Rattus norvegicus: one gene and its partners. The protein of the gene in region 1 interacts with the protein of each later gene in a pairwise test. Links are inferred from orthologs where the notes say so. Each region holds a gene or a part of one and is shown in the gene's direction. Other genes may lie near its edges. The genes, in order: Alas1, Dusp19, Zmat1, Poldip2, Cdc73 and Lonrf1.

Region 1 (3,975 bases):
CCTCTCAGTCAGCGCCTTAGGGGAAGGCAGCCTATGTATCCAAGTAACAAAAGCTTGCTTTAATTGCTCGCCTGCTTTAATAAATTTGGCCATGATGATTTGGGTCAGTGGTCTTTCTCCTCTCATCTTTTGGATTAACACAGAGAGCTAGACCTCTCAGTTGGTGTGCATTACAACCAGCAAGGACTTTGGACTATGCTCCGTATAAAAACAAAACACAAACAAGGGCTAATTAAGTGTTGTGGCCCGGGTTATGATTCCCAGTGTTTGAAACAGAAGCGGGAATCTGGCAAAGTTGGAAGCCATCCTGGTCCACAAAGTGAGACCCTGATTCAACAAAATGACACAAAAACGGGGTCAGGGACGCAGTTCAATAAGGGTAGTCTTTGCCAAGCATGCAGAAGACCCTAGATTCCATCCTCAGTGCTGCATCCTGTAGGCATGGCGGCTCCTACCTGCAATCCCAGCACTGGGGAGGTAGAGACAGGATGCCTCCAAGGTTGGCTACATAGCAACTTTGAGGACAGTATGGTGTGACTACATGAGACCTTGTCTCAAATTAAAAAACAAGATAATTTAGCTGTTCAATCCTGTGTCAGGCCCTGTGCTGTCATGACACCCTCACCATCTGGGTGACTAGAACTGTGGAGCTATGAGCTCCATCTAGTCAGTTCCTCTGTTCCCTGCTCTCTCTTTTCTTCAATTCGGATCAGAACGTATCACCCTTCTGCGGCTGCTTCTTCAATCCCGTGTCTGCAGCCCCTTAGCATCTCTTCACCAGGACCATTCTATTCTTGGGCCATTCATCAAGTAAAGAATCCCTGTCATCGATGCAAACAAAACCAAGCAAGCCCCTCGTTGATCTGATCTTAAGACCCTGGCGTGAAACCCCTTCCTGTGCGCCCAATAAACCTTTTTACCAGGGTGGGTTTGGTTTACGACCTACGCCGGGGGCCCAGGAGTCTGACGCACAGGGCTGTTCGTGGAAGGTGAAAGAGGGACGAAGGGTAGAGATCCAAAAAGGGACTTGCCCGTCCACTGCCCTGCTCTCCTGGCTCAGGCAGCGTAGGCCTAAGACATAGTCACAAGAGTTGGAGCAGAGCCCACACAGAGGGACCTGGCACCCTGCCGGGCCGACTCCGGTGCGCGTGCGCGCGGCAGGCCGCACCCACAGCGCATGCGCAGCGGTCACCCCCGGCTCTATATTAGGCCAACAGCGGCCCTAGCCGAGGCTGTTCGTGAAGAAGGGCACTGGTCGGTTTAGCGTCCTCCGCTCGAGTGCCCACCGCCGTCTCGTCGAGAGCCCGCGCAGGTGAGGGCCACGCTCGGTGGTCGCGGGAACCCGGCGCGCCCCGCCACCGCGGCCACATGCCCATCCCCCTCCGGGCACCACCTTGGCTCAGCGTTCATCCCCCCTCTTTACCTCTTGGGCTACCTCAGACGCCCCACTACGTGCCCTTCTGACATTCGGCGTTTTGACAGGCGCCTTCAGAACTTCTTTCTTACCCTTTCCATTCTGACCCCAGAGAACCTCTGACTCACTGCTGACCCCCTTCCACCAGTCAGGCTCTGCATTGTCTAGCCCTGCTCCTGACCGAGTCAGCCCTGCCCTTACCCTTCTTTCTGCCTCCTTTCCCTGTTCTAGCTGTAGGGACATGACCTTGTCTCGGGGACTCAGGGCTGGTCTAGACTCTTCCCCCTTCCTGGGGTTGCTAGGATCCCAGGGAGTCCTCCCTAGCTGGATAGGTGACAGTGACTTTTCCCCTGGCCTTGCTATTGCTCCTGGGTGTGTGCTAAAGTGTCTTAACCTACAGTGTACACCCTTCAAGGAGCCTCTGGCCTCCGACACCAGTTCTGCCTTGTTCTTCATCTCTACATCCTTAGTTATTGGTCGTCCCTACTTACTCTGGTAAAGTTGCTTAGGGGATGGGAGGGTTTCTCTAGAAGTAGAGAATGTAGAAGTTGGTGACCTGGGTAGAGTGTGGCTCCCATGCCTTTACTGAGCTCTGTTGGTTGCTGTCCTTAGTTTGGTTTGGTTTGGTTTGGTTTTGAGTGGGATGTGTGTCTGGGCCTCCCTTAATGTCACTCATCATGGACTCTTGTACAGGACCCGGGACACTTTGCAGACATGGAGACTGTCGTTCGCAGATGCCCATTCTTATCCCGAGTCCCTCAGGCCTTTCTGCAGAAGGCAGGGAAATCTCTGCTGTTCTATGCTCAAAACTGCCCCAAGATGATGGAAGTCGGGGCCAAGCCGGCTCCTCGGACCGTGTCCACTTCAGCAGCACAGTGCCAGCAGGTCAAAGAAACCCCTCCAGCCAATGAGAGTAAGTAGTTGGCAGTGAGGGAAGATGTCCTTGGTGGTGAAGGCCACTCTGAGGGAGCCTTACTCCATCAGGATCAACCCTTGTGTATGGGGAGCGGGGGGGTCATCTTGTGGAACTGTCCCTCTGACTCCTGAGTTAGGGGCTAAAAATCTGTCTAGTATCTTGAGGGAGCATCTCACTCTGTGTCCTAGGCTATCCCAGAACTCACTGTGTAGTCTAGGCTGGCCATGAAGTCAGGACCTCACCTCAGCCTCCCAAGCGCTGATACCACAGGCCTGAGTTACCACTGTTAGTTCGTTCCTTTGGTCCAGGGGGCCAGAAGAGGGAGTCACAGACTTGTGAGCCACTGTCGTTTTCCCCTTCAAGCAAAACAAACAAACTATATATATATATATATATATATATATATATATATATATATATATGTGTGTGTGTGTGTGTGTGTGTGTGTGTATAATATTACCATTTTAGTTTAGTTTTTTTTTTTTTTTAATCAGAGTCTCATAATATAGCCAGATTGCCCTCCAACTTACGGCAATCCTCCTGCCTCAGCCTTAATTGTAAGCATGCACCACCTCAGTTACCATGCCCGTGTTAATCAGTGCAGCGTGTGACTCACAGTATTGCATACACCCGTGTTGTTCTGCCACCACCATCCAATTCCTGAACTTTCTTCATCTTCCCAAACTGAAAAGGGCGGCCATTAAACATTAACTCCCATACTCCTTCCCCCAGTGCCTGGCAGCCACCACTCTACCACTGGGCCAGTTGCCTTACGTAAGTGAGGCACGGTGTTTGTTAGTGTTTGTCAGGGCATGGACCTGCCCCGTACAGGTGGCGGGCTTCTCAAGGCCACTTACTCCTTCCTGGTGAGCCCTTCATCTTTCAGGCTTCTCTTCGGTGTGTCGAAGGACTGTTTGTTCTTCTAGTGGGCAGGACTTTCCTGCCAGGAGTTAATTGTCTTTTCTCAGAATGTCTGTGGTGGCCATGTTTTGAGGTAGAATGCTCCTTTTCCCTTCCATTGTTCTAGACTTTCCATAACAGATCTGCAATCCTTGTTAAAAAAAAAAAATCAAGTTAGTTTCAAAATACCATTTCTTGACTTGTCTTTATAGAAAATGTTATGGAAACTGTATTGAGACACCTTATCCAAGTTGTAGAAAGAGCAGCCAGTGACTCATGGGAGTATTCCAATATGATGAAGGAAGACTTTTCTAGAAGGAAGGTGAGCACATTGCTCAAGGGCTCAAGGAGTGACTGTAACTTAGAGCGCAAAGCCAGCCTGCTGTGCTGGGTCAGCAGCTTCCTTTGAACTTCGATGAGAAAGTAGGTGAGGTGAGCCCTCTGTGAATCCAACCTGCCTACGCCTTTTAATAGCCCTGGTAGTTTGGGGACAGTTTGAAGATCTAAGGGACAGCCTGTTTTTCCTTTCTTTCTCTCTTTCTCTCTCTTTCTTTCTTTCTTTCTTTTTTCTTTTTAAGATTTATTTATTTAATATATATGAGTGCACTGTCACTGTCTCCAGACACACCAGAAGAGGGCATCAGATCCCATTACAGATGGCTGTGAACCACCATGTGGTTGCTGGGATTTGAACTCAGGACCTCTGGAAGAGCAGTCAGTGCTCTTAGCCGCTGAGCCATCTCTC
Region 2 (4,044 bases), on another chromosome or scaffold:
AGTTCCCCATAGGTATTGTGGGCAGATAACTCCACTTGAAAGAGAAAAACTTTGGTTCCTATGTCAGGTGTCCATAACAAGAAACTAAAAACTGTGTAGTTTAAGCAAGAAAAATTTACTTCTCGTGGTTTGAAGGCCAAGAAGTCCAAAATCAAGGTGCTGGCCTATGCAAGGCTGCTGGTGTGTTTGTTCCCCTTCCTTGACACCCACTTCTCCCAACTTCCTTGCTTAATCCTGCTTTATCTAGGGAAGGAAGAGTTCTCCTTTGTTCTCACAAAACCATTAATCTTGTTATATGTTTTAATATAATATTAATTATCCCCCAGAGATCCTATTTCCAAATATCTGAACACTTGGGCTCCTAATTCCAACTCATTTTGAAGGGGCACAAAAATTCAGCTCATAAACTTACTTTTATGTCAGAATGTTTTGAAAGCAACAAAATGTTTGTATGCACTGAAGAATACATTTTTTCTAAATCTTAAAACGTTATACATTGTACTTAAATTACCTTAAAATTACACTTTAGTAAGGGTTAATAAGGAAAATTTCAGTTGAAGGAATAGTGGTTTCCATTTGCAAAAACCAATCGTCTTTTGCAGGCAGACTCGGCATGCTATTGATCTGTTTGGTAAATGTTTGTTTTCCCAACTACGTATAGAATTACTACCATTCATTCTGTATAAGGCACGGGAAGGTCAGAATACACTTAAATTTTAACTTTTGCTAGTCTGTAGAAACGTATATTTAAAACGACTTTTTAATGTAGATTTTACCCCGTTGGAGCCTCACAAACAGACTGAATGTTTTTATCTAGTGAATGTTTCTTCTAAGAGTAACAGCAGAGAGAAAAAGAGTGAGGCAGAAGGCAGACCCTGTAGCCTTAGGCCTCTGTGAGCCACGGGAGGACTCACAACCGGGTGGGAAAAGGTCTTGGTGACAGCTGCTGTCTTCATTGTCATCTCTGTAACCAGTCGAACAATCCCAGAAAAATCACTGCCCTTAGAAAGCTACGAGATATCAGCTCTCTGTAAATGAGTCTCAAAAATGACTATTCCCCCCGGGTCCAAAATAAAGCTAGGATTAAAAACCGTGAGTAAAAACAGGATACGGTAAGAAGATTCTGAATGGATCCGGAAGGCATAAGACTTCCGTCAGCGGATGAGAAATAGCATCCAATCGGCGCCCGTTTCTTAGCGGCCAATCAGCTCTCGCCTTACAACGGTGTTCGGGACAGCGGTGCTGGGCTGCTCTCTTCTCTCCAGGAGGTGAGGTTGTCACTGCAGGGGCCAGCTCCGCTAAGTGACTAGTGGCTGACTAGCCCTGCAGCGTGCAGTGCCTTCCCCCCCCTTCTTTCTTTCTTTTTTTTTTTCCTTGCTGCTTTTCCTCCTTCGCTCATGTAATGCACTCCCTGAACCAAGAAATCAAAGCATTCTCCCGGGATAATCTCAGGAAGCAGTGCACCAGGGTGACCACGCTAACTGGAAAGAAACTTATAGAAACTTGGAAAGATGCCACAGTTCATGTTGTGGAAACAGAGACCAGCGGTGGGGGTGGTTGTGGCTATGTGCAGGACCTTACCTTGGACCTGCAAGTTGGCGTTATTAAGCCCTGGTTGCTTCTGGGTGAGTAAACTGACTTGCCACTACGTTGTGGAGAACTGGATTCCTTCATCAGCAGACTCCCCTGTGCATACCAATCCCCTATGCACAATAATATTATCAGCTATCCTGATGAAGAGTTGAAATGCTTACTTTTTGTAAGTTAGGAAAAAGTAGGGACCTGTCTGCCCTCACAATTCTTCTAAAAACACCAGATGATTGAGTTTTAGAAGAAATATTCCTCTATTTTTCTAACCTTCTTTAAAGGATAATGGGATGTTGTATTTTCTTGTATTATAGAAAAGACTATATCCTTTAAAAGATGCAGTAATAACAAGTGGTTCCATGGTTGTGGAAACGACATTGAAAGCGTGTTTCCTACGGCTGCCTCTGCTCATGGTGGCTGTCTTTGGGTGTTAAAAACAAGACTTCTACTTCATAGCTATGAGCCTGGTGGTGTTCTTTAGAAACCAGCCTATTCCATAAGTCTGCATTGCTTTGCATTTATAAATGAGAAATTAACACTTGGACACAGGAGTTAGACATACCCACAGGATTAGCTATACACAGTATATAATTGTTATAACGATCTTCAAGTAGGAATTATCTTCATATTACAAATAGGAATTGGGCATTAAGATTGGGGAAGTAATTTGTGAAGGCAATAGAGTCAGTAAATAGCAGAGTTGTCCAGGGGATTAGGTCCAAGTCTGACTGACTCTGCACACTATCATAGTACTACATTGTTTAAGGTTAAACTTACGGGCCGGGGAGATGGCTCAGTGGTTAAGAGCACTGACTGTGCTTCCAGAGGTCCTGAGTTCAAATCCCAGCAACCACATGGTGGCTCACAACCGTCTAATGAGATCTGAGGTCTTCTTCTGATCTGTCTGAAGACAGCTACAGAGTACTTATATATAATAAATATGTTTTTAAAAAAAAGGTCAGACTTACATTACATGTTCCAACTTATTTATCCTCTCAAAACTTCCAAAAAACATCTGCTTACAATAATTTTAGTTTTTTTATTTTATTTTATGTGCATGTGTTGCATGTGTGTATGCACGTGTACTGTGTCTTGGAGGTCAGAAGAGCTCATTAGATTTTCTCTAGCTGGGTTCAGATGGTTGTGAACCACCATGAATGCTGGGAACTGAACCTCAGTTCTTTGCAAGAACAACAAGTGCACACAGCCTCTGATCCACCTCTCCAGCTCCTCTCTGCTGTAATTGAAGTGACATCCTATAAGGTTGTTCTGGCATTGTGAATTTTTTTTATTTTTTTATTTTTTGCAAAAACTCAAGTTATACCATGTATCCTAAGAATTGCCATATACACCTTTAGGTTGATTAAATAAATAAGACCATAAATATCGCAGTTTAGGGGAAAATACCATCGTTTAACCAAATGAAAAGCAAAAAGTTAAGTTAATTCTTTGGATGAGCTGGATGGTTCAGATCTTGTATGTTTCTAAGAATGAGAATATGTATATGCAGCCTTTTCTGACCTCCATAGTTGATCACAAACTCTTCTCTGTCATTAGTCTCTCTCTCTCCCTCTCACCCCCTCTTTTCCTTTCTCTCTGTTACATATACAATAAACAGAAAAACGTGAACAGATAAGCAAATACATTCTTTAAAAAAGAGTCTTTTTTTTCCTTTTTTTCGGAGCTGGGGACCGAACCTAGAGCCTTGCGCTTGCTAGGCAAGCACTCTACCACTGAGCTAAATCCTCAACCCAAAAAAGAATTTTAATTGGCTGCAATTATAGCTGTTCCAGAAGCTGAGGCAGGATAATAACTAGTTCAAGGCCTGCCTGGGCTCCAGAGTAACATTGGGTTGAGCAACATAGAGAGAGTGAGTGATAGAGTTCTTGCCTCAACACCACAGACAAATACACCAGACACACAGGGTTTATGTTTATATCAATATAATTTGGTAGTCACTTAGAAAATACAACTGTTTCTGTAATGTAGTCGACCGAGAGAGAGAGAGAGAGAGAGAGAGAGAGAGAGAGAGAGAGAGAGAGAGAGGATTACCAAAGCAATAAGTGTAGGGTGAAAAGGAAAATAATTTCATTTAAGCCATGTTACAATTTTTACTATTTTCTTATACAAACAGAATAGAATAATTAGTTAAAAGATACGTTACTAAACTATTAAACTAAAATTAATTTATCTGAACCTGTTTTCCCACCCCAACACAATTAAAACTTCCTACAGTAGAAAACTGAGAATCACCTTTTAGTCATGAAGCATTTGAAATGGATAGAAGGACAGGCTGGTGAGAGGACAGACAGTTTCTGTACCCACTATCCATATTTACCGAATGCTTGTGGTTTGGAAGTCCAACTTCCAAGTAGGAAGAAGCAGAATACACATTCTGCTTATCAGGTTTAGTAGGGAACCTCTCAGCTTGGAATCACTGTGTACTTGTGGCCCTCA
Region 3 (3,952 bases), on another chromosome or scaffold:
AAATTATACTGTTTAGTAAATAAAGGTGTATGAACATACTTAAAATAGTAGACATGCTGTGTATACAGTGAGTACAATTGTTAAAGGAATTGGTATCGTTAAAAAGCAACCACAAAAAATTCACTAGAACAGTGAGATTAGTGCCTTCAGGATAAGCTCCCAACCACCCACAGCTCCAAGGTACAACAATACAAACTCACTTTGAAACCTGGATTTAAAACTAGACTGCTAAAACTGGAGTGATGTCTCAGTAGCTAATATCACACAGTATTCTTGCAAGGGGCCTGTGTGGTTCACACCCTCTATTACTCCAGTTCCAGGAGATCAGTGTCTTCTTCCGATTTCCATGAGCATCCACATGCCCATGCCCCACTCCACCTTATCCACAAATTAAAAATAAATATATAAAAGCAGAATGTGTGAAAAGGGAAGAACCTTAGGGTACCCTGATGAAATGGGGAAATGTTTTCCCTGGTTTGGCCATTCAAGTACTTGGAGGCCACTAGAGCTAATGTGCACCAGGGCCAGACTACATTACAAAGCTGGCAGGAAAGCTTGTTAGTATAATCAATAGTTTTGTGACCATGAAGTCTTGACCCAAAACTTCAGAGGAAAAAATCCTATGAGGTTAGGCAATGAGTAACAGAGCCAAATTCTCTGAATCGAGGTCCCAATAGGCTGCTGTGTGTAGGTGTTAAAGAGAACCCAAAGTTGCAATGGAGACACTTAGATGCAGGAGATGCTAGAAAGGTCAAACACCTGCTGAGGAAAGTTGAAAACATTGGGTAGAGCCAATGCAGGAGAGAGAACATGGATACTCCAGGAAGCAAGGCTGGAGAGCCAAGGTTCCCCAAGTCCATCAGAGCCTCCACAGTATCCTCGTGAACTCTAATACTGGACATAGAGCTGCAGGGATTAATGATTGTCCTGAGGTGCGCTGGTCTTATTTTTCTCTGCTCTTACCTTCCTCTTCTTCCACTCCTTACTTTTGAAATGGGAATGTTGATTCTGTGCCATTGTACACTGGAAGTATGGAACTTGGATCTTTTATGTTCTTTCAATTCTTTTATTCTATGTGTATCGGCATTTGCCTGTGGGTAGATGTAGCAGGTGCATGCACTGCCCACAGAGGCCAAAAGAGGGGGTTATATCCACCAGAACTGGAGTTTACAGATGGTTGTGAGCCGCCATATGGGTACCAGGACCTGAACTTAGGTCCTTCTGCAAAAGCATCATGTACTCTTAAACACTGAGCCATCCCTCCAGAGCCTGGATTTTTTTTTTTTTTTAATTAGAACTTATAACTTAGAGTTTGCCCGAGACTTTGCACTTTAAACATCTTGGTCCCCTTATATTGGTGTTGAGAATATAAGACTGTGGGTATTTTTAAAGTTGGACTAAATATATTTGTTTTATGAGATAGTCATGAACCTTTGGAGGAAAACTACAGTTTGAATATAACACTTGGTCCCTAGCTGGCAGTGCTGTTTGGGGAGGTTCCAAAACTCTGAGAAGGTGGAGCTGGGCTGAGGAAGTTCGTCACTGGAGGCAGGTCTTGAGGGTTAGTTGTAGCCTGGACCTGCTTCCAGTTTCATCTCTGCTTCCTGGCCCAAGCTATGCATCAACAAGCTGCAACACAGGCCCGCTGCCAAGAATGGAGTCCCCGCTACCCTGGATGGAGCCCTCGCTTCCGTGGATGGAGCCCTCGCTTCCGTGGATGGAGCCCTCGCTTCCGTGGATGGAGCCCTCGCTTCCGTGGATGGAGTCCTCGCTTCCGTGGACGGAGCCACCGCTTCCGTGGATGGAGCCCCCGCTGCCATGGATGGAGTCCTCGCTGCCAAGCCTTCCCTCCCAAGATCAACCGTATCTCCTCAAACTGTAAGCCAAACTAAACCTTTCCTCCCTTGAGTTGTTTCTGTTAGGTATTCACTCACAGTGAAGAAAAAAGTAATATGGATGCTAGCCAGTCTCTAATATTTGGTTACAGACATTTATGATTTGTAAGCATGGACTGGTTCTTTAGTATTGGCAGAAAGTAGGAAGCTTATAAAAATATTTAGTCCCTATTATATAGGTAGGTAGTTTAGGAACAATCCCACATTCTGCTGGTGTACTTTTGCTAAGATCTGACAGGCAGATAAGGTCTTCTGAGACTTTTCAGTCCGGTGGATGCCTTCGCAGATATATTACAGACAGCTTCCATAACTGTTCTTTGAGTTATTCCCCAAGGTTGGGAATAACAGAGCTACTGCGATGTTTCTATTTATAAAAGGTAAATAAACCATTTTTCAATTCCAAGAGACTTTCTTTGTGAAACCCAACTAACCAAGATCCCTTACTCCAACATTTAGAAAGTAAACGAATCTATAAGGCTGTAGACTTCATCTATGTAAAATGTAAATTTCCAGAAATGTTTCTCTGGCATCTTGAGAGCTTAACAAAGGTATCATCTTAAGTTGTAATCATTTGCTTAAAGAGGGGCTAAGGAGTTCTATTATTCCTTTGTTTTGACGTGATGAACTAAAACAACGACCTCAATTTGCAAATGAATTTAGGATGAGCTGAAATGAAAAGAAAAAGAGTGCTGTTCTCTTATAAGAGAAACAAGATACAATAAAATCTGAAAGACATGTTTTATACTGGTTCAAAACTGCTCTATAATGTGTGCCAAATGTCCTACTTTATATTAGATAAAAATTAGAGGAGGCCATTGTTTTGGAGTGTAAGCTCTTGCATGAAGCCCTGACAGAGCACAATAAATATCAAAATATTGCTACTCCTACTGAAGCGAGTTATCTGACCTTCCAAAACTGAAAGATAACAGTGCAGTCTCTCAAACAGGCCAGTTACAGTAGGCATGATAATGAAGTCCTCCCTGTTTCCAATCTTTAGCCACCAAAGTAACCTGAAGTAACCGACAGTTAACAAATCAGTGCATTTTCTTTCGTTCTCTCTATATATCTTCTGTCAAAGGACCTTGGAACAGCTAACCCAGTTTGTTATTTATGTATGTTTTCTTCAATTTCTCTTTGTTTACCAATCCTCTGTTCACGTCATTGAAGCATTTATTTGCTCCATGAAACGAAGCATTGCCTGATTCAAGCATCACAAAGCCGCTTAAAGACCTTTAAGATTAAATTTGCTGTATTCTGCTATTTATTTGACAGCAGTCTCATCCAGATTGCCTATGCACACATAACTTAAGTATGCTTATTAAATAATCAAACAATAATTTTCTATGCTTTAAGAGAACATTCTGTGTCCTCAGAATTTGTATCTCTTGAATATGATGGATACCTATAGATATGAAACAGAATAAATCACGTTAGAAGTCAAAAGCCTAGGCAATGTATGTAATATCTGCTTGTCAGGACTTGGAAGCAGCTAGAAGCATGAATTTACATGCAAACTAAATCCCAGGTAAAACACCAAATTAGAAGCCAAATCCCAGGTAAAACACCAAATTAGAAGGAAAAGACAGAACTGTAAGCTATGTGGAATGGAGCAAACCTGGCCACAAGCACAGAGAGACACGTCAAGAAGGTAGTCAGGTAGAGTCAGCATTTCTTCCAGGGTCAAAGTGGGCAAGGCAAAGTAAAAACATCAGAGAATTACTCTCTGAAATGAGGGAACAATATGTACAAAGTTGTCCTGGCCAGAGGATTCATGAATATTCTCTGACTAACCATAGGACTGTCTAAGAGCACTAGAAAAACATAAGGGAAAGTGGTGACTTCCATCAGCAAAGTGACAGTATTTCTATTCTACTAAAACTAACTCCAGCTAGTCTTTCACTTTTTGGTAATTTTAGGATGAGTAATTTCAACAAGCAGCATCTGCTACAATCTGAAGACAATTCTAGCTTACTTAATTCGACTTTGAGATCTGTTAAAATATGCTAACTGTCTATAGTGAAAATGACATAGCTGTTTGTAAAGGATAAATTCAATTT
Region 4 (3,500 bases), on another chromosome or scaffold:
GCTCCAGAAAAGTAAGTTTTTCTCTGTCCTATCTCATGGTGTCCTCAGGTGGCCTGACTTGTCTATATGCAGTTGGGGTAAAAACAGCATCCCCTTGGTCTTTAGAAATAACCCCAAGCCAGGCATGGTACTGCACACATTTAAATCCCAGCACTTGGGGGGGCTGGAGAGATGGCTCAGCGGTTAGGAGCACTGACTGCCCTTCCAGAGGTCCTGAGTTCAATTCCCAGAAACCACATAGTGGCTCACAACCATCTGTAATGGGATCCGATGCCCTCTTCTGGTGTGTCTGAAGAGAGCTACAGTGTACTCATATAAATAAAATAAATTTAAAAATTTGGGCTGGGGATTTAGCTCAGTAGTAGAGCGCTTGCCTAGCAAGCGCAAGGCCCTCAGTTCGGTCCCCAGTTCCGGAAAAAAAAAGAAAAAAAAAATCCCAGCACTTGGGAGGCAGAGGCAGAAGGATCTTTGTGAGTTCAAGGCCAATGTGGTCTACAGAGTAAGTTCAAGGCCAATGTGGTCTACAGAGTGAGTTCAAGGACAGCAAAAAAGCCAGAGCTTTGTAGAGAGACCCTGTTTCAAAAAAAACAAAACAAAACAAATAGGAAAAAAAAAAATAACCCAGCCAACTAAAATAAAAGAAATAATTCCAGCCTGTTTCTCTGGCACTCGCCCCCATGGAGACAAAAGTTTTAAGTATATGGGGTCTCTTTGGGCCTCCCCAGAACCCGTCTGCCCTTCCTTTTTATAAACTCCTACTGCTCTCCCTTTTCATAATCCAAACCCCAGAGGATGTTCTAGGGGATTGCTTCTGTTTTTACTTCCTTTCTTTAAAAAAAAAAAAAGATTTATTTGTTTTTATTTTGTGTATATGGATTTCTTTTTGCCTGGATGTGTCTGTGCACAGTGCTCAGGGAGGCCAGAAAAGGGAGCTGGAGTCTCTGAGACTAGAGTTACAGATGGTTGTGAGCCGCCATGTGAGTGTTGGGAACCAAACCTGGGTCCTCCCCAGGTTTAGAGCAGCCAGTGCCCTTTAAACACAGCCATCTTCTACCCCTTCCTTATGAGTATTACTAGTCTTACTTTTTTATTTACTTAAATATTATTTATTACATAGCCCTGGTTGTCCTAAACACATAGAGATCTGTGTCTCTGCCTCTTGTCAAACCAGTGCTGGGGAGGGCATGAGTCAGCACACCAGGCTCTTCTTGGTTCCTCCCTTTCTGAGGGTTTTATTTTATAGAATGTATATTAGTGTTCTGCCTGCATGCAGGACTTTTTGCCACATTCATGCAGTGCTCCTGGAGGCCAGAAGAGGGTGTAGATTCCTCAGAACTTGAGTTAAAAACTGTGTGACCTTCTTGTGGGTGCTGGAAACTAAACTTGGGTCCTTTAGAAGAGCAGCTGGTGCTCTCAACCACTAAGCCCTCTTTCTAGCCCTGCTTCTTGGTTTCTTGATGTCCAGTTGGAAATCTTTCTGTTAATCTCACATCATCAATAAGGTACATTAAAAGAGGGAAGTTCCGGGGTTGGGGATTTAGCTCAGTGGTAGAGCGCTTGCCTAGGAAGCGCAAGGCCCTGGGTTCGGTCCCCAGCTCCGAAAAAAAAGAACCAAAAAAAAAAAAAAAAAAAAAAAAGAGGGAAGTTCCACACATAATCACAGCTAACCCTGGGGCGAAAGAAGTATAAGGTTCTCGTGGCCTTGGGGCTCACATACCAAGTGGACTTTTTTGTCCTGGCCCTCTTCAAGGAGGTGCCCAGAGTGGTAACTGCAGGGGCCCTGGGGATTCCATCGTTTGCCCTGACTAGGGAGAGGCTGGCTGGAGGTGTGTTGAGCAAAAGCCAACCTATGCCAAAACCCCTTTAGATCATGAACCAGGCCATTTAGGAGAGGAGATGGCAATGAACGGAGCCAAGCGCAGCTTGTTCCCCTCTGGGGTGACCTAGGCTGCTTCTCATCCCACAGAGCAGAGAACCCTGCTGGCCATGGCTCTAAGGAGGTGAAAGGCAAAACTCACACTTACTATCAAGTGCTGATTGATGCCCGTGACTGCCCACATATAGTAAGTAAGCAATGTGTGTGGGTCTGGGGTCCTCTCCATGGGAAAGGATTTTACTCCTTTAGGGACAAAGAGGGGTCAGAGAGAGCTCAAGTCAGCTCTGGGCCTTAAGGCCTCAGGACTGGGTGGTAGCTAAGGAACCTTTGAATCACCTTTTGCTTTAGTCTCAGAGATCTCAGACAGAAGCTGTGACTTTCTTGGCTAACCATGATGACAGCCGGGCCCTCTATGCCATCCCAGGTGAGGAGTTAGCATCCAAATGGTACCTGAGGAGCAGGGGTCTGGTGTCTGAGGGAGTGGAATCTGATGTTTTATCATCTGCTGGGAGGGATCATGGTACTGAGAACTGTGATGCCAGGGTCGCCTACCTTGGGCAAGGCCAGAAGGTATTTCCTCTCAGTTTCATTCTTGTGCTGTCTGAGTCTTACCAGCTCTGTCTCTGTGCCAGGCTTGGACTATGTCAGCCATGAAGACATCCTCCCCTACACCTCCACGGATCAGGTTCCCATCCAGCATGAGCTCTTTGAGAGATTCCTTCTCTATGACCAGACAAAAGGTAGTCTCTCAGCAAAGGGGAAGTGGGTGGCTTGCCCAGGACCATGGTTTGGACTAATGCGCCGTCTCTTCTAGCCCCTCCCTTTGTGGCTCGAGAGACGCTCCGGGCCTGGCAAGAGAAGAATCACCCATGGCTGGAGCTCTCAGACGTGCACCGGGAGACGACCGAGAGCATCCGTGTCACCGTCATCCCCTTCTACATGGGCATGAGGGTGTGTGCCTGTCTGCCTGGGCTTCTTCCTTCAGGGCTTCCCAGATTCAGTGTGGTATCCTCATGTGACTAAAGTGTTGGGAGTGGGAGTGTATCTGAACCTAAGCCCTCCCCCACAGTTCTGCCTTCAAGTGCTCATGTGCATATGCAGGGTAGGGTTGAGGTAGCCTCTTGATAATGGCCAGCATCATGACCATAGACCCATAGACCAGAAAGTAGTCCTTCATGCCAGCTTTCCTCTAATAGAGGAGATCTTTCTTGTGAGAAATACATACATACTTGCCTGAATCAGTGTGGATTGTCACACTTTATCTTTAATAGCTGGATATTTACTGATCTGTGTCTTGCCTCACTTTAAGCTAGGCCTACAGATACAAGTATAAATGGAAGACTTCCTCACTCAGACACGGGATGTCAGCATCCGTCAGAGCAGGACAGTAAGAGGGCTGTGAGGACAGGTCAGGCTGGCAGGGACACTGGTGAGAACAGAGCCCTGTAGTGGATTTCTGCTAGCATCCAGCTCTGTTGATTTTGACAGGATTATAGAGGGGGCAGAACAGGAAGGATGCAGGGAGGCTCTTGGCCATAGTTTTCCCACAGTCATCACTGGCTCCAGTCACAGCTTCATCAGCCTCTGCGCCTTCAGGAATACTTCACTTGAGATATGTTGATTG
Region 5 (4,264 bases), on another chromosome or scaffold:
CCTTAAAGACATAAATTAATCAAAAAGAGAAATTGGTTGGAAATGATTTGTATATAAAATAAAATTCATAAAAACTATTGTTGACTTTCTTAACTCGTCTTGAAACCTATAATGCACTTATTACCTCAAACTTTACTAGGAGACTTTATCTTTTCACTTACTAACTCAATATTTTCTAGGTGTTGTTACTGTATCAAGTACAGTGCAGACGACCAAGATGTACTACATGTCATACAGTCGTTTCATTTCCTAGGAGGTAGGCAAGCAAATAAAGGGGACAAGGAAATACTGGGTACTGTGATATATAGGTATAAGTCCAGATGTGAAAGGGACAGTCGAGCAAAGTCAGTTCTTTATAAGCCGCATTTGCCGTGAGGTTCAGAGACACATTGAAGGGAGAAAACCGTTTGTGAGGCAGACATTCTTTTAACCTCATACATCCATACCCGGAGAACTCTTTGCCACACATAACAAAAGTTCATGCCCCCCCCCCCAAAACCCAATAGATCAAAGTATTTGGTTTTATAAGTAACAAAGTGTGCCTCCTTCTCACCAAGAGTGAAAAAGAAATATTAGGCTTGAAGTGTATGTTTAAGTTACACAGGCCATGTAAAGTATCAGAATTCTAGGTTCCCCTAACATAAAGTCACCGGTAAACCTTTTGAGGTTTGATGTTTAGTATTTCTTCCACTCACAACCTGGAATCATTTGAGGCTTTTTTTGGGGCGGGGGGCGGTTACCCGGGAGAAGCTGCCGTTGCCGGGATGGAAAAAAGTTGTTTCCAAGGAAAGAGGCGGCGTGGGGGAGGGGGTGGTCAACAATGAATTGTATTTCGTCGACGCGTTAGGATGCTTTCAACTTATTCTCATATTAATTTTACTCCGTTCACCAATCAATCGATGTTAGGAGACCAGCGACTAACAAACGGTTCCAGAATTGTTCTTCACCTAACTCTTCTTTTCCTCTTTGCAAATCTACTCCTAATGAAAACCTAGCCTTAACTTGAAAACGTCCACATTCCAAAGTTCAAGCTTTCCCTAGTAGCTTATCCTGCCCACGGGGACCTATTTCGCTGAGTGCGGCTCAGATGAAGGCAGAAAGAGGGGGAAGCCTTCAACACAGGGAAGCGAAGCCTGGCGCAGGGAAAGTAAATCACCCAGTGCGCGCTCTGGGATCGAAAGTGCGGAAGCGCCCAGCAGGTGCGCGCGCACCTGTCGCTCGCCTCGGAACCCGCGCCGGGCGCGATTCCGCTAAGGCTCAGCACCCCGGGAGCGCCCAGGCTGGCTCCCGGTTTCCCAGAGTCGGCGGCGTGCCCCGCGGGCGTCTGGGAGGCGCGTCTGCTCGGGCGGCCGCGGCGCCCCCTGGCGGCGGCCCGCGGCCCTGGCGGAGCGTGGGTCAGTCAGGCGTTCTCCGCGGGCAGCCCGCGGCGGGGCCTTGCCTTATATAGCGCGGGGTCCTTGGCGGCCTGGGTGGCTTCTGCCCGTGCTGCTGTCGTAGACGCGGACGGCTGTTAGTGTGGTGGCTGTTGGTTCGCGGCGGCGGCGGCGGGGGAAGAGGGCGAGGCGACGGGGAAAGGAGGCGGCGGGCGCGGCGGCGACGGCGGTGCCCGGGGCCCGCGGCGGCGGCGGCTGTAGCAGCGAGGGGGGCGAAGATGGCGGACGTGCTCAGCGTCCTGCGACAGTACAACATCCAGAAGAAGGAGATTGTGGTCAAGGGGGATGAAGTGATCTTCGGGGAGTTCTCCTGGCCCAAGAATGTGAAGACCAACTATGTAGTTTGGGGGTAAGTGCGGCATGGCTTTGGCCTAGTGGTGGCCGGGCAGCGTCGGGCGCCCCCGGGCGACCTCTTCCCTTAAGCCCTCCTCCTCCGGAGTCCCTCGGGGATGAGAGGAAAATATGGGTGCTCTGGGAAAAAGTTATTCTCTGGAGCAGAAGTTGTACTTTTAGGGTGAGGAGGGAAGAAGTGGAGCGGATTCTAGAGCGGTCAAGTCTTTTCTGTGTTGGAGAAGCCAAGGGGAAAGGTACCATGGGAGTTTCCGACTTGCCAGTCGGTGTTCAGTATGTACAGGTTGTCCGCGCTGTGTAGGGCTGCTGCACGTCTACCTGAACGGAGGTATAGAAGCAGACATCGATCCCAGCATCTGGCGTCCACCGAGTCGCTTTTTGTTCTTAGTTGTTTTTTGTAATCTCCCAGAGGCTGCCATGTGTTGCAACTGTCTCCTCTGGCTCTTCGAGCGTCCCGGTAATTTTCTTTTCTTTTTTTCATAATAGGGGAGGCTGATATTAAAAAAGAGGGAATAGACAAGTACTCCTTACAGTTTAGGAAAGATGGGAGAGTTTGGAAGTCTGCAAACATCAGTATTGGAGAGGAAAGCAAGACTTTGTTGGGGAGAAAGTTATTGGTGAAATGCAGTGAGTTTTACATACGGGTCTGAGAAATTGATCCTATGTGCTTTTCAAAAAGCGCTTTCAAAGAAAAACGAAGCGTTTGGGAAGGTTGATTCGTGGATGCCATGAACTTAAGTCGTTGAGGAAATCACAGAGTATCAAGTTAATAATCAAAGATAATCCTTTGGGTCCCCTTTAATCATGATACTGCCATTGATGCTTCTCTTTGATAATTAGAATCATGAGTCAGACTTTTGGTACTCATGACTTTATGAATGATCAATTAAAAACGAGAAAATGTTAAGATTTCTTTGGACTTACTGAGTTCCTTTTTGAAATGTTGATTAAGTGACATTTTGAGTTTCCCATGTTTTACTGTTTCAGATACGTTACACAGAATTATTTTATTGGGTTTTAATGAATATTTTTTCTTTAAAAACCCGTGGGATAAAAGAAGTTTAACTTGGAAAAAAAAAAGTTCCTTCCTTAAGCTATTTTGACTAGAAAAAGTGGAACAGATTAAGTTGATCTGAAATGTTTCCTAGCTGATAGGAAGAGAACAGTTGTTTACTTGTGGGTGGGGCGGTATTTAGAAAAGTGTGTTTTGTCCATTCTACAAAGCCTGGAATAAATGAATGAACAGATGAGTAAACTTTAAAGAACAGCTAAGAATTTGAGTGAGATAGTGGGATAGCCTTCCAGTGCTGGGGACTATAGACTTGAGACTTAAGACATGAGACTTGGGAAGGACATGCTTTGACAAGAGTGTACAGAGGAGTGAAAAGTAAAACTTAGAAGGAATTTAAAACTTTCAACATCAAATCTTCAACAGAAGTTATATCTCTACATGAATTCACATCTCACTGTGTGTATCTCTAAAAGACTAGTTAGTACCCTTAATGCATTCAGCGCTTTCTGCTATTTTATGATAATTACTTTGTATATTAATTAACAATGAATGATTTGACATATCACTTCAGAGCAGTGGTTCTCAACCTGTGGGTTGGAAGTGTGGGAAGACCCTCACAGGGGTCTCCTACGGCCATCAGAAAACATAGGTACATTTATAACAGTAGCAAAGTTAAGAGTTACGAAGTAGCAACGAAAATTATTTTTTAGTTGGAGGTCACCAGAACAAGAAGAATTGTATTAAAGAGTTGTAGCATTAGGAGGGCTGAGAACCACTTGCTTAGAGTAAAAGTGATAATAGAGGCTAGTAAAGGAGGTTTAGGACAAAATAAAGTGAGCTGTATTTAAATGGATTCCTACAGTTGAACCATCATAAGTAGATGGAGGAGAAAGGAAGGGATTGCAAAGTGGTGTGTGCGTTAGCATTAGAGAACTTGTATCCCCAAGACTACATTACTTGATCACAGTATTTTAGTTTTGCTTTATTGGTTTAGTTTGAGAGATGTTATAAGGATCATCTCCTTGGAGTACATCCTTTTAACTTTCAGAGTATTGTTGAAGATGTTGTATAGCAGTATCTTTTTTAGAATTATAAGATGTATATCTTTTAAGTGCATCCTTAGTAATACCTTCATCTAGTTTGTTTTCTATGATAATCCTTTCCATTGTGCAGCTGGTTGGATTTTTTTTTTTTTATTTTTTCTGTTGACAGAGTCCAGAACTCAAGTCTTATTTTAAAATATGTATACATATTTAGAGTTGGGATTGAGGATGTAGCTCAGTTGGTGTGATGCTTGCTTAGTATGTATGGGTTTCGGCACTTGATCCCCAACACCACATGCAAAGAAATATGGTGGAGTGTACATGCTGTCCTCAGCTGTGTAGCAGAGTTGAGGCTAGCTGGGATACATGAGACCTTGCCTGTCTTTTTTTTTTTTTTTTTTTTCTATTCTTTTTTTTTGGAGCTG
Region 6 (4,127 bases), on another chromosome or scaffold:
TGCTCATTGTTTAGTATAAAGACACTTTTGAACTGTTATTACCTATTCTGTGTAAGCAGGAACAATTAATTGTTAGACAATTTTAGACAGCATGACCTTTGACATTCCATCCAATTGCTTTATTTGAAGATCTCTGGTTAAAAATATTTGAAGATAATTTTATTAAACATTATATATATATATATATATATGATACTATCACTGTGAGATCTTAAAATCTTTTCAATACTGACTGTATGATTTCAGACTGAATTATTTCCTGTTATCAAGTATTTGAAAAAGAAGCCTTAAATCTCTTCCTACATTACCAACCCAGTACTCTGTAATCAAGTCTATAAATATTTCCATTGAGATACCTGATGCTTTCACATTTAGAGGAACTAGAACCCATTACATATGAGCCAAACTATCTTCAATCGACCAAGCTGCAGAACGCTTGCATCGTGGTGATCTGGTTTCTGCCACAGCGAAAATGTTTTTCTCCTGTTTTCTCATTTAAAAAACTTTAAGCAACTGTGGGTTAGTGTGTATGAAGGATGTGGAGCACACCTGAGGACATGGGGACTTTCACTCTCTAAGTGTACATGTGGTTTATTTAATAGTTTAATGTTTTTTGGTGTATTGCACTTTTAAAATTAAAGTTTACAAATCGCTCACAAAGTATTGGGTTTCTTTTGGACAGTTCGTTTCTGTCATTTTCTCTTAATAAACTTCATCACAAGTCAGCACTAACCAAGCACCAAGAAAAACTCTTGCGTGCTGGGAGGAAGTGGTCTCAGTAACATGAAATATGTGTGTCTAGAGTTGGCCGATTTCAGATTTGAGTCTCAAAGTAATCACACCGTGCATGTGCATTCGCAGTCCCTCTACTTGTTCTGGCCAGCAGAAACCCTGGGCATCCAGACCCACCCAAGGCTTCCATCTACGGCCAGGAGGGGTCTAAGTATCTACTCATGTGCGGCAGGTTTGGGGTCACAGCACTGCTGGTGCCCACACGAACAGCATAGCACCCACTATAGGCCTGGGGACCAGCCACGATTACAAGAGGTGTCAGCTCGCAGGCCGCCTGGGAGACTTCAGGCTTTGTTCAGTCAGGAGCCAAGCCTCCTTGTCAGAGAAGCCAATTAGATCCCCGCTGGGGATCATCTGATCTCGCGTCCCTCACCAGGAGGGGCTCAGAAAGGGTGGGACAGGCCGGCCAGCTCTCCGGTACTGGGCGGCCGGCCGCGTGTCGGGAGGCCGGGCGCGGAAGCCAAGGCCCGCCCCTCTCCGTCTCGCTAAGCTCCGCCCCTCTCCCCAGGCCCCGCCCCTAGGGGCTCCCCGGGCGCGCGCCGCCCCGCCATGTCCGCGCGCCACGCCCCCCTGCTCGCCGGCCGCGTGCGGAGCCGCGCGCCCCGGAGGTTCCCGGACCGTGGCGGCGGGCGGCGACGGAGGAGCAGCCCTGCGCGGGCCATGTCTTCTCCGGCCGTGGCGAGGGCGTCCCCGGGCGGGAATCGGGAGACGGCCGGCGGACCGCGGAGCCGGAACGGGCCGTGGGAAGTGGGCGGCGGCGAGCGGTTGGAGCGCGCGGGCGCGGAGCCGGGGCGCTGGGAGCTTCTGCTCCGCCGCGGCGAGCTGCTGGCGCTGGGCGGCCACCTGAAGGGAGCGCTGGAGGCGTTCGCGGCTGCGCTGCGCCGCGGGGCCCCGGCCAGGCCCGAGCGCCTCGGTTCGCTAGTGGACTGCCTGGTGTTCAGCTACCGGCTCCGTCACGGGCTGCGCTGGAGCGCGGCACCCGCCGCGGGCGCGGCCGGGCTGCTCAGCTGCCTGGGCTGCCGGGGCTTCCTAAGTGAGCCGGTGACCGTGCCGTGCGGCCACAGCTACTGTCGCCGTTGCCTACGGAGGGAACTGCGCGCCCGCTGCCGCCTGTGCCGGGACCGTCTGCCACCCGCCGCCGCCGCCTCCGAGGGGACCCCGCGGCCGCCGCCCCTGGCCGCCGCCATCGCCGACTTCCGAACCAGCGTCGTGCTCAACCACCTGGCGGAGAAGTGGTTCCCGGGCCAGCGCGAGCGCGCGCGGGCGGCCGGCCGCCTCGGGGAGCTACTACACGAAGGACGCTACCGGGAGGCCCTGGCCGCCGCCTGCGACGCTCTGCGAGCAGGTGATGCGGGGCTGCGGTGCGGGACTGGCGAGCGGGGATTGCGAGTGTGGGAGGGGGCGGCGCCCCGGGGTGCTTCGGTCACGGTGGGGATCGCCTGGGAGCCTCAAGTGACGCGGCGCAGGGAGGGGCGCGGATGCGAGGTTCCCTCGTGCGCGCGCCGAGCGGGGACCTGGGGCGGCGGAGCTTGGGCGCGGGGTGGGTGGGGGCCACAGGCTTCCCTCTGTGAGCTGGCTGGGAACCCCAGCCGGGGTGGGGCGAGCATCCCCGGGCTTGGCGGGGCTTGGGGGTACCGCGTCTACCTTGGTCATGCACTAAAGTCACCGGGGCAATTAGAAGCCGCGGGAGGGCAGAATTGCATAAGCTGGGTGGGGGGGCGTTGTGTAACGGGTGACGTTCGGTGGGCGTGGCGGGAGCCCGGCGCGGGCACCGGCACCCGGAGGCCCAGCGGCGGCCCAGCTCTGAGTTGGTGACCGGTTGCCCGCGAGGTGGTCACCTCTTCTTACCTAAAGGATCGCTTGCTCCAGGAACCTCCACCTGCCTATCTCACATTCTGCTTCCTTGGACCTCTGTGCGTGCTCCCACACATTCCTGGTGTTGGTAGAGAAGTAGCCTCCTATGACGAGTTTGCCTTACTCAGTGTAGACCTGTGAGGGGAAGCTTTGTAGGTCTTTTGCTTATATCCAAGAACAGCGTTGTCCAGTTTACTGGAGATGGCTTTTAGACTGCGGATAAAGGGGTCATTGTAAACTTAGTAAAGCCAAGAGTTCTTTAAATCCTCGAACTCGGTTGTTCTCTACTGAGGTGGTGGTGGTACTTACCTCCTAGAGATTTTTACATCAGGGACCCTTATCTAGTAAAGCATCTAGAGACATCTTTGAATGGCCACCTCTTGTAGAAGTCCTGTCAGTACAGACATCTAGTGGCCCGTCCAAGGATGTTGCTAAACATTCCTAAGCTCACAGCCACCTACGTGAAAGACTGATCAAGCCCAAATGTCAACTGTATCATAGTTGGTCACCTGGTGTTGGGCATGCTTTGTGTGTCTGTGGGCTGCCATGAGAAATTACATACAGTATTAATCCCCAGGAAATGAGTGACATTGGGAATTTGAACTGATTTTAGGTATTAGGTAAGTTATAAACTTGTAACTGAAATTATTACTTTGACTCTTTTAGTCATACTGAGGAAGTTGACAGTAGCTTCAGGCATACCCTTCTGGCACGTTTTCATCCTCTTCTGGCAGCTTCATGAGCAGGCACTCATAAACTAAAACGACAAACCCAGAGTGATAGAACACTTGGGGATGCACAGTTCTGCTGGGGATGACTCTGGATATCTGGGTGGATAAAGTTGAGTGGGGGAAGCTGGACCTGACTGATCATCCAGTATCAGGCTTCTGTCAGACCTTAAGGAGGAAGCAGAGACAGGGCAGGTGACTTAACAACAGTCACTTGGGTGGTGGCTTGTATAGGCAGCTTAGACCCTCCACTTCCCAACATTCTCTGCCCAGCATTGAGATCCTCGGGTCTACCAGGATATCATCTTGAACAGAAAAGGCTGCGAATGATGAATTCTGTCGCTTCCAAGCTTCATAGACCGCATGTGAGATTTGCCCACAGGCCACATAACCACACTTTTTTCAAGACTCGAATTCAAGTCTCTGGCCTTTCACTTTATTATGTTATAGGGTTTTTTTTTTCCTTATTCATAGGCTTGTCAGAAAAATCAGTAATTCTCCACCCGAATATGCATCTCAATGATACTAATGATGATATTTTTTTCTCTTGAATTCTTTGTGCGAGATAAAAAGAGAACAATTAAAGAGCCAAACATATTTTAGTTGGTCGGGGGCAAATGTGTATGTGTTTCATAATTTATGGGCATTAATAAGAGTGGGCGGATAGCTCAGGGGTAGCAAGCTCGCCTGGCATGCGCAGCGTTCTGCTTTGTATCCCTAGCCTTCCAAACAACCCACCACAGTGTGTCAGTT

What was found.
Region 2: the proteins of Alas1 (region 1) and Dusp19 interact in a two-hybrid assay, tested with the Homo sapiens proteins (3 studies listed by BioGRID and IntAct). The two-hybrid records come from large-scale screens. The link is inferred for Rattus norvegicus from reciprocal best matches to the Homo sapiens genes ALAS1 and DUSP19.
Region 3: the proteins of Alas1 (region 1) and Zmat1 interact in a two-hybrid assay, tested with the Homo sapiens proteins (2 studies listed by BioGRID). The two-hybrid records come from large-scale screens. The link is inferred for Rattus norvegicus from reciprocal best matches to the Homo sapiens genes ALAS1 and ZMAT1.
Region 4: the proteins of Alas1 (region 1) and Poldip2 interact in binary tests that used the Homo sapiens proteins (3 or more experiments, as listed by UniProt). The two-hybrid records come from large-scale screens. The link is inferred for Rattus norvegicus from reciprocal best matches to the Homo sapiens genes ALAS1 and POLDIP2.
Region 5: the proteins of Alas1 (region 1) and Cdc73 interact in a two-hybrid assay, tested with the Homo sapiens proteins (3 studies listed by BioGRID and IntAct). The two-hybrid records come from large-scale screens. The link is inferred for Rattus norvegicus from reciprocal best matches to the Homo sapiens genes ALAS1 and CDC73.
Region 6: the proteins of Alas1 (region 1) and Lonrf1 interact in binary tests that used the Homo sapiens proteins (3 or more experiments, as listed by UniProt). The two-hybrid records come from large-scale screens. The link is inferred for Rattus norvegicus from reciprocal best matches to the Homo sapiens genes ALAS1 and LONRF1.

The regions. Positions count from the first base shown.
Region 1 is NC_086026.1:115,765,843-115,769,817, reverse strand, and holds the start of Alas1 (5-aminolevulinate synthase, non-specific, mitochondrial precursor), read left to right. Parts: upstream 1-1,175; 5' UTR 1,176-1,312; intron 1,313-2,107; 5' UTR 2,108-2,128; coding exon 2,129-2,327; intron 2,328-3,975.
Region 2 is NC_086021.1:85,944,059-85,948,102, forward strand, and holds the start of Dusp19 (dual specificity protein phosphatase 19), read left to right. Parts: upstream 1-1,244; 5' UTR 1,245-1,402; coding exon 1,403-1,625; intron 1,626-4,044.
Region 3 is NC_086039.1:102,507,699-102,511,650, reverse strand, and holds the start of Zmat1 (zinc finger matrin-type protein 1), read left to right. Parts: upstream 1-1,152; 5' UTR 1,153-1,616; coding exon 1,617-1,878; intron 1,879-3,952.
Region 4 is NC_086028.1:63,908,287-63,911,786, forward strand, and holds part of Poldip2 (polymerase delta-interacting protein 2), read left to right. Parts: coding exon 1-11; intron 12-1,966; coding exon 1,967-2,063; intron 2,064-2,224; coding exon 2,225-2,300; intron 2,301-2,508; coding exon 2,509-2,616; intron 2,617-2,690; coding exon 2,691-2,827; intron 2,828-3,500. UniProt on the Homo sapiens protein: Involved in DNA damage tolerance by regulating translesion synthesis (TLS) of templates carrying DNA damage lesions such as 8oxoG and abasic sites.
Region 5 is NC_086031.1:57,997,232-58,001,495, reverse strand, and holds the start of Cdc73 (parafibromin), read left to right. Parts: upstream 1-1,464; 5' UTR 1,465-1,651; coding exon 1,652-1,782; intron 1,783-4,264.
Region 6 is NC_086034.1:62,686,604-62,690,730, forward strand, and holds the start of Lonrf1 (LON peptidase N-terminal domain and RING finger protein 1), read left to right. Parts: upstream 1-1,327; 5' UTR 1,328-1,341; coding exon 1,342-2,137; intron 2,138-4,127.